2 linked regions of the Caenorhabditis elegans genome follow. The protein of the gene in region 2 purifies or fractionates together with the protein of the main gene of each other region. This does not show direct contact. Each region holds a gene or a part of one and is shown on either strand. Other genes may lie near its edges.

What was found. The genes of interacting proteins can lie anywhere in the genome.
Region 1: the proteins of C06E1.1 (region 2) and T18D3.6 fractionate together in Caenorhabditis elegans (co-fractionation; one large-scale study listed by BioGRID). This does not show direct contact.

Annotation. Positions count from the first base shown.
Region 1 is NC_003284.9:12,446,843-12,453,857, forward strand, and holds T18D3.6 (uncharacterized protein), read left to right. Parts: upstream 1-3,049; 5' UTR 3,050-3,074; coding exon 3,075-3,815; intron 3,816-3,900; coding exon 3,901-3,964; intron 3,965-4,017; coding exon 4,018-4,085; 3' UTR 4,086-4,513; coding exon of another isoform or gene 4,514-4,591; 3' UTR 4,592-4,601; downstream 4,602-7,015. Other genes in the region: T18D3.9 (Mitochondrial inner membrane protein Mpv17), read right to left, coding at 4,514-4,591, 4,730-4,798, 6,279-6,407, 6,461-6,553, 6,596-6,702.
Region 2 is NC_003281.10:8,602,686-8,608,611, reverse strand, and holds C06E1.1 (HVA22/TB2/DP1 family protein), read right to left. Parts: upstream 2,781-5,926; 5' UTR 2,769-2,780; coding exon 2,643-2,768; intron 2,599-2,642; coding exon 2,488-2,598; intron 2,435-2,487; coding exon 2,186-2,434; 3' UTR 2,014-2,185; downstream 1-2,013. Other genes in the region: C06E1.9 (ASCC2 family CUE domain-containing protein), read left to right, coding at 1-86, 564-686, 736-967, 1,025-1,264, 1,312-1,691, 1,767-2,013.

The sequences.
Region 1 (7,015 bases), on a different chromosome or scaffold from region 2:
GCAAAAAAAAGAACGGCGGGGAAGATGATGCAAAGTGTCGGAAGATGGGGAAATACCTATATGTACCTAACTTTCAGCGAAAAAAGTTATCATTGAAATTTGGTTTTAGAAAAAATCGTGGATAGTGTTCAAAGTTGATTTTAAATACAACAAAGAATTTGGTTTTCGTTGAAAAATCATTTGGCATTCAAATTAACGCAATACCAATATTGTTTCTCGTTTTTCAGCTTGTTCAAACAAAACACAACCTCTGAGCTCATCATGTAATACACAGAAATATTTGTGTTGCCTTTGCTGTCTCTGCTTTCCCCTTTCTCAATTTCAATCGATATCCGCATTCCGCCTTTTTTTTTCAAGCAAATCTATCCACACAGGATGGAAAATATTGCAAGATGGCTTTGAAGATGAAGACGAATGGGTGAAAATAAACAAAAGTGAGATGTTAGGACATCTCATCTTTGCCTATGTTTTAATCTAAGAAGCTTTCTTTAGTTTCTTGCCCTAGATTAATCTCATCTCTCAGCACTTTAGCACATTCCTCATTCCTTTCAGTTCAAAGTATTTCGAGCAAATAACCCCATAACAAAATTTATAACTGTGGAACAATGTGGGCGAGATCACAATTTATTGTGTTTTTCGGCTCGCAGAGCACATTCATTCTTTCTACTAATGTTCATAGCAACGGGAAGTACAAGTAGGCTAAAGGTCGATGCATGCTTTTGTTTTTTTTTCTTGGATTTTTTCTTGGAAATGAGCATGCGTGTTAATTTTCTAAGAAAACTTATCAAGAATTTTGGGCGATATTTGGTTGATATGAGGCGTTGTTCATATTTGTGGTATTATGGCTCAAAATCTAAATAATGTGTTCTAATTAGGGGTGGCAAGAGTGCGACCTAGGTCGCTAGGTCGCTGTTTTCATTTAGGTCGCATCGCGACCTAGGTCGCATTGCGACCTGCGACCTAGCGACCTGGGTCGCATTGCGACCTGCGACCTAGCGACCTAGGTCGCATTGCGACCTGCGACCTAGCGACCTGCGACCTTGCGACCTGGGTCGCATTGCGCTTTGCGACCTGAAGTACTGACATTTTTTATACTAACAAATTGCTACAAATCATTTATTTTACATTGTTTTCGATTTCTTATCCATAAGACACCTTGTCGAAAAAAGTTAGAACAGCCGACATCCGCCGGATTTGCTGCTTTTTTCTACGTTTTTAATTCGAAAAGTGGAAAATTAAATTTTAGAAACAACAAAAACCACAAAAACGTGAACTTTTTGAAACAATTTGCTGAAATGCATGGTTTTATTTGTAGAAATGAATTCTTTGTTCCGTACTTTTGAAAAAAAACTACGCATAAACTTATAAAATCTTAATAGAGAAAATGTTATTGGAATATACATATTCTGCAATCTTTAGTTTTCGAGTTATACAGTTTTCGAGTTATACGATTTTAACAACTCAAGTGAATCAAAACCGAAAGAGAACAAAATGTCGGTAATTCAGGTCGCAATGCGACCTAGGTCGCTAGGTCGCAGGTCGCTAGGTCGCAGGTCGCAATGCGACCTAGGTCGCGATGCGACCTAACCCTCTAGGTCGCAGGTCGACCTAGGTCGACCTATAGCCACCCCTAATTCTAATATATCAGGAGATGTTTAAAAATAGTTCATGACTGCCAGATAAACACACAATTTTCAAAGCAATGTATCCGTTTTGTTGTTGTCAACTTAGGTATTAGTGCATGCGTGGTTGTAATAAGCACAAAGCTGAAATATCTAATTTTAGGAAAAGCACGTAAACTTTCTTGTTTTATCATTATCAAGTTTCACTGTAAAGTTTTTTATTATTTTCAAGTTGTCTATGGTGGAGAAATAAAAAGGTTATAGTTGAAACTTTATTGTCTTATCAGTAGTCAAAAAATTTTTGAAAACCCTCACTTTTCTGAGGTGTATTTTCTATTTTTCCAGAAGTCATATCAAACATAATACAGTAGGGTTCTAGCAAACTTTAGTGAACATTCATTGTTTGAGTGGTCTTTCCAGTTGCAACAAATACTACGTATTTAGATAAATATCAAAAAATTATAAAACCTAGCTACTGTACCAGCCAAAAATTAGCTAAAATGATGATTTTATCTTTAAAAAAAATTCAAACTAGTGTTTTAACCAGCAACAGTGTAAACCTTTATAGAAGTATATGTGATTCGTCGTCAAAAATGCAAGGCAATCGTTTTTTTCAAGTTTTTTTAATGATAATGCTGAAATCTTGAAAGTTTGCTGAAATGTACTAAAAACTGAGTACTACTTTGTATTTATCTGGCTGTAACTGTTTGTGAGCTGCAATTACTTTAATACAAACCAACATTTTTATAGCGCTTTTTCAGAGCAAAATACATGGCGTAAAAAACAAGTATGTACATGTGTTTTGTTTGTAACTTTTCTTTTGTTGCTTGGTAAAGATGTCAATTTAATATTGTTATTGAATATCACAATATAATGTAGGCAATCTGCTACTTCAAACATTTGAGACAGCAAGACACGCAGGCATCTCGACAAAACGGCGCTGCTGGGCAGAACAGGCCGGCCAGTGTCGGCAGTGGAAGAGGGCGACGGCGACCGTCCGTCTTTTGGCCGCATGTTCTCCCCCATTTTTCCTCTCCCTTGCAAACACTTTTTATTCTCTTTCTACGGTTTGCAATTCTGCCAATTCTGCAGTGTTTCGGCGAAATGAATTTTCTTAGTTTAAACTGGGAAACTATTAAGCGGCAGTGTGATAGGCTTGGTTGCCACAAAAAAGTTACTCGTTTTGTTTTGCAAATTTACAAAATTTTTAACAAGTTGCTAAATTCCTTTTTTAAGTCTTTTTTAAATATACAATTCCAATGCAAAAAAATATCCCAATGCGTCACATGTTCTATATTTTCCTTCATCACTCCTCGTCTTGCATGTTTTTCAAATACAACTGTTATGTGAATACCCTTTCTGAAAGAAAATTATTATTTACGCCCAACGTTCTTTCAGTTGACTTAACATCACTCAATAGTTTCCTTTTTCAGTTACTTGGGTATACTCATAATGGAAGAACCCCACCCAGCACCAAGGAATGATCGAGATGCGGAAGGTGAAGAGGCTAGGCACGCTTTAAGGATGGAGAGACAACTTGCAATTCGTGAGGGACGTTATCTGCCTCCACTCCCACAACTTCCACCATTGATCCAGCTGATTCCTGTGCACCGCGCTCAGGCGAACGAAGCTGTCGATAGAGCCATTGAATTTCAGCTAAACCAGAGGCGGCAGTTTTTGCTGCAACACCTTCGACCTGAGCATTTTCAGCCTGGTGGATTCTTTGATCCGCAGCCAGAGGGAAACTATCATCCTTTGTCTCCACAACATAGTGACGAAGAGCTTGATGACGCGGAAGAGGAGATTGAGAGACAGCGACGAATCCGCCAAAACTGGAGAAACTACATGAACCAGAGAGTTGATCCCATTCCACAAGAGATCGTTGACCGCTTGCTCCGGGAATACGACAATTGGGCAAGAGCCGCGTTAAACAATAACAATGGAAATTTTCGAAACTACAATGCGATGCTCTCCCCATCACCATCTCCATCACCAAATGCATCACCAGCACCGTCAGACGACGAAGATCCGATGGAGCACGTGAATTCTGATGATGAAGATGTCGAGATGCTTAATGCTCAAATGATGGAAATGCGTCCCAATCAGCCGAGACCAAGAAAGCGTCATAATTCTCAAGGACCATTACCGATCAAAAGGAAAAGAGTCACTTTCAAGGAGGACTCTTCAGATGAGGTTCGGAATTTTTCGGGCTTTTGAAATTTTTTGCAAAACACCCAAAAAATTTTACAATATAATCATACAAAATTCAAAATTTCAGGCCATCAACTCATTCGATGAGGACAGCTCCGATTGCAATGACAATGTTCCAGTCAACCGTAAACGTGAGGAATAAACATAATTAATTCAGCGAGTCAGCTAATGTCAAAATGTTTAGAATATGACGACGACGACGAGGGATTTTTCGGAGGACCCCCGGCACGCCACAACTCCTTTGTTGCATAGAAGTAAATCTCAAATTAACCAACTTTTCTTCAACACACTTTTACCAATTTTTCTAACGAGAAACTACCGGTTCCCCGGTGGCACCGTACGCCATTTTCTGTGAATGTTTTTTTTCAAACCCCGTTTTTCTTTCTTTCTTTCCATTTCTGTCCGACTCATTTCCGCCACATTTCCTCGCCAATCCACTTCCCCGCACCACTTGGGATCTCGTTTCATTTTCATGACTGTTCTTCTGGAAATTTAATCACAAAGTCCAAAACTCATTTCTCATCCTGTTTTATACTCTCAATTTACTTTTTGAATTAACATTATCGTCATTAATTTTAATTGGGAATTTTGAACATAATACAATTTTATGTGAAATTACAACCTAAAACATAAATATCACAGAAAAATACATAAAGATTGGAATGTATGTGAAACTGTAACTAGTAAAATTGTTCAATATGATCGATGGGTTTCTGAGTGATGTAGGACAGATAACAATTCCAGAAGAATGCGACGACCTGAAAAATTAATTGAAAAAATAAACTGATTGATGTGTTTCGTTTCAATGGCGTGATAAACTGTCTAATAAAAATTGAACCTTTTAAACAGTTGTATTTTGGTTATGATTTATTCTTCAAACTTTGGTCAAAATGTACCTGGTTAAGTATTACTCGATAATTGAGTGGAACAAAGCACAAATTCACAACTTGAACAAATGGCCAAACCTGGAATAGTATTTTTGTACGACATAAATTTTTGAGTGCTTGGCAATAATAAAAAATGATTTGGAAGTTAGTTAGGTTTCACGCTGACGTGGCGCATGTTTTCTGTCAAAAATTCACTTTTATTGTAATTTTCATTACGTGTAAATTGCTTCTAAATCAGAAAACTTCTTAATAAAGCTTTGCTGATCGAGATAATGTTTTGAAATTATATATGTATTACTTCACAAAATAAGCAATTCTACTACAATCAACCTTATTTTTCACATAATTTTTAACAGTTAGAGGCCTTTAAATGTTTATAATACAAGTTGAAAAACAGTTTTCAGCAATATGGTGATGATGCTATTGATACTTTATTTTTATTCGAACTATTTCTCCTCAGCATCAGTTTTTGTTCGTCTTCCTCCAAATCTATGTTGATCCAATCCTCATTTTGTGAATATCAATGCATCCTCTTTTTATTGTGCACTCTTTCAATTTCGGGATAAAGCTCTGCTCTTTTGGCGAGGACGAGTCGCAAATGCGACACTCGCGCACACGACGACGAATCGCACCAGCGATTCACCACGTCGCAACGACAAAACTCGCATCGCCGATAACGAAGAGGACCGCCGGTGCGACATAGATGTCGCAATGGAAACCCGTTGGCGACTTGCGAATCGCTCCGACGACACCGCCGGCGATGTGGACTCGCAATGTTGGAGCAGTTGGATGTTGCGTGTCCGCGTCGCGACGAGCCAGCGATAGGCGACAAATGCAGGCAGCAGTGGCTCAATTGCGGCGACGACCCGCACATTTTCTCGGCTGTCTCTTTTCGTTGAGACGCCTTGCTGGGAGATGAGGCGCGAAGAGAAAGGAGTCCTCATTCTGTCATTTGGAGAGGGAAAAATGGGTGAGAGAAAAAGAAAAGGTAATAGAGATGTCCAGTGTGTGTTCCGATTAGAAGAAAGTTTCGAAATTTGAGGGAACTGGGTTGAGCGCAACGAATGTGAAATCAGAGATTAGTTGTGATAATTAAGAATGTTAAAATAGAAAAAAAATATATGTTGTGTCATTTTATGTTTTAATTTTATTAACTGATTTACCCAAAATTGAAACAAAGCATAGCGCCAGTAGATAATGTTCAAAATTGCTTTTATGGAGCTAGTTACATATTTAAGTAAAACTTTCTAAAAACTATTTCTAAAAAGTTGTATTACTATCAAAAAGTGGCATTTTCCTTGTTTACAACTATTTAAACTTCATTCGCCGACCAAATAATTTACTACAAGCTTGATATTTTTATTGTATTTTAATAATTTATGGTTGAAGATTGTATGGCTTTATACGGGCACTTTTAATTTTTTATTATTAGCTAATTCGTCAAAACTGTAACTGAGAAACTTAAGTCTAAACAATCTTTGAATTGTTCATCTAATCTTTGAATGAAGCTTTGAAAATGAATGTATTTTTTCCTAATTTTCCAAAAAAATGTATGTACCTTTAAACTTGTTGCATAAATGTTGAACCAATCTTCTTTTAGAAGATCCCACGACTTTTCCGCTGATTGGTGTTGCAATAGCCGGAGATTGAACAGTATTGCGGCGTTAAAGCAAGGACTAAAACAGAGCTGGAAAATTGTATTTTAAAGGTTGTTATTTTTATAAATTTGATGTTAATCACCTGGTCAATGCAAAGTTTTTTAACAAGAAGTAGTGATTTATTATTTCCTTTCACTTTTTCCAGCAAACGAAACCATATGAACAATGATGGCGCCTGAATAAACTATAAAAAAAATTTCTTAAAGGCAAGTTTCACCATAAAACAACTTGACAAAAATGAAAATCGGGCCGTCCTCCAACGATCCCATTCTTGGTTATGCGATAAGTATTGCGCTAAACAGTCACCAGATCCACTGATTGTTCCTGGAAAGTACTCTTCATATTTCCAAATTTATAACCAATTATCTATCCTCTTTCTTCTATCAAGCAACTTGTCTTGCCTGAACCAAACCATCACAACACGAAAGATGCGCAAATACATTGTTGGCGCGTTTTGTGTGCACAATTTAGTTTTTAAATCATAGAGTGGTCAATTTTAATTATGTAATCGGTTTTTTGCTGTCACCCTGATATAAATTTTAAATATTTGATTCAATACGTTTTCGATCAATTTTTTTTAAGTTTTGTTCATTTGTTTATTAAATATGAATATCAGGCTATCACGTTTCAGTTTATC
Region 2 (5,926 bases):
CCGGAAATTTTTGAAAAAATAACCAATTTTTACGATTATCCGATGATGTTTGATGTGGCGATGGCATTGGATGGTTTTCCATTGAGGTAGTTATAAATTATCAATTTGTACATAATAATTGTGTTGAAAAAGATGGAAATTGAACTAGAAACCATAAAATTTAGATGAACATTTTGTCAAAACATGGAAAAAATTTTTTGAAAGCGAAAAAAGGTTTAGCTAAAAAAAAGAAGAAAACGAAAAAAAAAACAAAAAAAGTTTTAATTTGAAACTGTATTTTCAAAACTTGAATATTTCCACCAAAATTTTTTTGTCACTTATATTTTCGAGAGTGATTTTTTGGAATAATTGTAAAACTTAAACATTCATGAATTCTTCAGTATATCAGAATTTTTCGTTTTTTCTTCTTTTTCGTTCACTTTTTTTTCGAAAAAGCAAAAAAAAAAAATATTTTTTCGCTAAAAATATGAAAAAACGAAAAGGGCGAAAAGCGAGAAATCTAAAACACTGATGTTAGGTAAACCTATTTCAGAGTTGCCTTTTATATAAGTGTAAATTTTCAGAAAAGTCTTCTTGGCACGTCGGTTCGCATTGCAATCAATTTTAGAAGTTTTCATTGAAATGGCTCCGAACACAAAGTACAAGGTTAGAGAAAGAGTTCGACAGGAATTGGAAAAAGCATCTAGGTAACTTTTAATTTTCTACTTGAAAAAACGAATTTTTGAAAAATTTCAGATTTGTCGGCTACGCTTCTGAAATGGGACATGACAATCTTTTAAGTTCGTTTTCACCGAAAATTGTCTCTTCAATTGAAGATTCGAAACATATACTTGAAGTAGAAACAATTGAGCGACTTCGTAGATGTGGTTACTTGGAAAATCTTGGAGCTCCTCTTGATGAACTTGTCAGAGCCCAGATAGCATCGATTCGCGAGATTTTACCACATTTCTCTGCTGAATTCGTACATGTACGTTAATTGGAATATGGATCTACAACATTTTTTTTTCAAATTTTAATTTTACAGCTCGCACTTCGTCATTTCTCTTACGATTCTGAAGTCACACTGGCAAGCTTGCTGTCTCGTGAAAATCTTCCACTGGAACTTCTGCGTTTGGAAAATGTTGAGTTGAGAGCTGGTATAGGATCAGGAGAATGGCCACCGTTGGATTTCACTGCATCGGATGAAATTGAGAAGTTGGCGAGGGCAGACAAACGGGCAAAAGATGAGGAGACAAGAAAGAATAATGAAACGAAATCTGCATCGGTCAGTTATTTCTTGATCCATCATTTTTATAATATTTATATTTATAGAACCTCTTCTCTCTCGCCCCAATCCTCTCGGATCGGCCACCATCTCCACCAGTCGATCAGCAAGCTGAACTTCGAGCACATGCCGAAGCCTATCGGACTTCAGTTCTTACGAAGCTTCAGAAAATCCGAGCAGATGCTGCTGGACCCTCATCGCCTTCTGAAAAAATTGCTGTTGATGCTGAGAATCTTGTTCCTCTTGCGACTTCGAAAAAGTATTCGGCATTGAACTCCTTAAAAATCAGTGAAGCAGATAAAGTGGCAATTCGGCCAACATATAATAAGTATCGTTACGAGACCCCGAATGATGGAGGAAATGGAGTTTATGATGATGAATACGATGATGAGTTTGATGGAAGAGAATTCAATATTGAAAGATTAAAGTTAGTTTTTGGTCAGATTTAAATTCATATTGCACTGCAACTTTTAAATTAAAATCATGAGAATATTAATTTCAGCCAAGAACTAGAAACATCGTCAGAAGAGGATGAAGCTGGATCTTCTGCACCACCTGGTTTATCTCAACCACCTCCATATCAAGGATCCCGTGGTGGACGTGGAGGTCGTGGAGCCCGAGGTGGCAATCGTGGTGGAGCCCCATCTGCAGATGGATATACTGGAGGACATGATCGTCAAATGAAAGAGAAACACAAGTCGGATATCAAGCAACGTGGAGCTGATAGAAAGAAACGAGGAGTTTATTGAGAATTCGATTTACAAACCAATGATTTCTTTACACTTGTGATAGCAATACAATTCGGTGTAAATTTGGCTGGGTGATAAATAAATTATATCAGTTTAAAAAAAAACATGTTCAAAAAAAAATCCCGTGCGTGTCAAAGTGTCAGTTCCGTAAATTTCCATAAATTCAGAGAGCTCAGTTTTCCTCCTCTCCAGGCGGCGGTGGAGTCACCAGAACCCATGTTTCGGTGAATTTCAGAGCTGGCTCAGACCATTCCTTGAGTTTATCGAAGCCATTTGTGGTGATCGAGAGGAAGAGCCCGGTTTTAGCGAAGTAATAGAATGGGACTCCAGGAAGAGCAGAATAGTCAAAAAGTGAAACCATTGCATAGAGAATCCAATAGAGGAGAATGTTGTCTGATGGATTCTTCTGTTGGCGGAGGATCTGTAAGAGTGTTCAGTTGATTTCTAATGAAAATGAAGATAGTTGAAATTTACCATGAAGCTCTCTTTGACTGGCCAGAAGATGCAAATGATATGAGAGAAGAGTGGGAGGAAGTTGCCGAGAAGAACGTAGATGGAAAGCATCAGGAATGCCATTGAGACGATCTGAAAACAAATATTGTTTTTAATTAAGACATTATATAACCTACTCTTTCTCTTGGAATTCCAGAAAACTTTTCAGCTTGAGTGAAAGTCTTTTCTTTCCAGTCTTCCTTGTTTCTTGCTTTCAAATACTCGTTGATTTTTGACTCGATTTTTGCAATAATTGTCGCCATTTTTGAATATCTGGAAATTATGTAATGTGGGAAGTCGCGCTCTACCGAACTATTCAACATTTTCGAAGATTACATAATAAGAAAAGACTGATCAAATATCAAGAAGGAAGTTAAAAAGAGAGGAAACGATGAAATGTGAAAATATTAAAGTCACATAAAGCGAGGCGAAAAACAAAACGAACGATAAAATAATAAAAAGGGATGGAAAAGTGAGGAACAAAAGACGGCAAAGATGAGAATCAATTGCAAATCGTGGCTTTTTATAAAATTATGCATGCAATAATGATTAGTCGGTGAGAAATTGCGAAACTATTTAAAAACCGATTACTTTTTTTCTTCAAAAAAGTCATGGTCAGTTTTCGTTATTTTGATGGAAAGTTTGCTGGGTGGTAGGACAGCAAAGACTCTCGTTTTCTATTTGTTTTAGATATCGTATGAGTCATACAATTAGTTTTCGATAAGTTGAGATTTTATCATAAAGCCGATAAGCTTTAATGGAAACTTTCAAAAATTAAACTTATTTTCCAAATGTAAATGTATAAATGTTTCCAGAAATATATCGGTTCTAGCTCGCAAAGACGAACAACAAAACAAAGAAATGAGCATATTTCTGCCATTTGCAACATACAAGAGAGGAGCAGATGGAACGTTTTCACCTGAGCACTGCACTCTCTTAATCTACAGTACTATCTCACTCAATTATATAGAGCAAATGATGCACAGACGGATTATAGAGGGACCGTATCGATTGGTATCGATACGAACGAAGAGAGAGACCGCTTGTCTACGTCACTGCCTACCAAATAGCTCCGGCATAGGTCTGTCTTTGTACCTACTTGGAATGCCTGAAAGATGTGCAAAAAAGAGAAGAACACTGGAATATTCCAGTTCTGACAAAACATTATATTAAAAAGAAGACATGTTTTTCAAAATATGTTACTCAAAAAAGTTTCATAAAAACTATGTAGTGAACTGAAATAAACGCTTCCAGAGTTTGTTTGTTGCATTCTTGTCGATGCACCATGTTTCTCTCAACTTTGACAACTGATATATTGACCATCTTTATTAAAAAAAAAAAGTTTTCTCAAAAATTGTCAACTATCAAACTATTTCAAACGATTTATGCTTTTTTCTATGAAATAGCAGTTTGAAATTTACTGAAATTTTTAAATTGAACCGGCATTTCAGTTCTATGAAATAGCAGTTTGAAATTTACTGAAATTTTTAAATTGAACCGGCATTTCAGTTGCCAAATTTATACCATTCTTTCTTGTCTATGCACCATGCTTGCACAAAACTCAAACAGCTGATATCTCGGTTGGAATTGCCTTCTCCATTAGAAATTTAACACCAAGGAAGATGGTGTCTGAATTTTTTAAATAGTTGGTTAGATTGGTGAACAGCGAAAAATTACAATATCTATAGCGAACAGAATCATTTGATAAACATACTGCAATTACAGGGGCACAAATCACAGGGGGACAATATGAATCCTGGAAATAACTCGAAAATTCGATTCTTCAATCTACAGTAATCTTTTGTAGAATTTTGAATCAAATTTCACATGTTAATTATCTACAAAGCTAATATTTCAATAAAACTATCTATAACCCCAAAATCATTCCCTTTTGCATGATCACAATTATGTGACGTATCCAATTGTGTCATCCGTTTTTTGAGATTTGGAGTTTATAGTCAAATGAATTCAGATCAAATCCCGTTTATTTGCCCGTTTTTCAAATACAATATTCTGTCAAAATCCCGACGTATTACCTCCAAACCAACATCAATATACATACGTTTTCGCTACAAAATTTCTGGTGATTTTTATGGAATTTTCCCACGAGTTTTCTCCAAATTGCTTAGTGAGCTACAGAAAAAAAACGAGAGTTCGTAAAATTGCATTCTAGTTTTGAGAAAAACATTGAAATCTTGTAGAATTTAGAGCTAAAAAAGATGGAAAACTGGCAATTACAAGTGGCTAATCATAGTCTAAGAAACTAGTACTTTCGTTGACGTCAGTGATAAGTTTTGGTATTTATTGCAGCAAATTTTCTCTTTAAAAATTAAGAAACAATCTGAAATGAGATTTTCCAAAAATGTGTCTGTATATTGAAAAAATATTAATGGTACTCATGTAGCAACCGCACCCCAAAATTGTTTCATCTGCATCATTTTCCACCATTTTAGGTTACGAATAAAATCAGAAATCCCTATCAATTAGTTTTCCAAAATAGTATGTTTTTCAATATAACACTAGAGAACATTGTGAACCACAGACAATTTAAAGATGCACACTCTTATTGGCAGTTTGAAAAAAAGAATTAGGCCATTTCAAGACAGGATACCGTATTCTTGTCTCTCAAATCGCGCTAAAAAATTATTTGAAATTGAATACAATTGTTTTGTTAATTTACTGCCAATGCTATATTTATTTATTGTTATTGTATCTTTCAAAAAATGATTTCCAAGTTTATCCTCATTTTTTTTTGCAAATTCCAATGAAATCCTTTTCCTCTGAATGAACCCTTTTCTTATTTTCAGCTACATCATATTCCCCCTAAAAATCTTATGATATGAAGATTACGGTACCCAAAGCTTATCTTTGTCTCATATCCTGCTCTGAAAAACAAATAATGCCTGTGGTCAATCTAGCTAAAAGAAACTGAAAATCCTGGATAAGCTAGCTTCGGTGAAGCTTTTCAAGGTGAACAAAAACAAAAATTTAAGCCCGGGTTGCCTACCGTATACGTTTAGAATTATTTTTATTCTGCAATGTTTGATGCTACTTTTATTGTATTTTTGATTCATTTGGAATATATTTTTGGAAGAAAAAATTACAAACAGGTAGAAAAACAATATGGAGACATTTCTACAACAATATAAAATATTTATTTTAGTAGTGCACGGTTTTAGGATTAGCTAGCCGGAATATTTAGAGGAAAAGAGGTAGTTACAATAAATAGCTATAATGAATTTATTCTACATTCTTTAAGATAAAAAACCTTACAATTAGACAGATATTGTCTTCTCGGTATTTGAATGATCGTTAAAAATGTATTGCTTACTGTGAAAAAGGCTATTCAATACAGAAAGTAAAACATTGCGTGATTTAATTATTCTGATAAAACCGGAAGTTTTTTCTAACGAAAAATCGG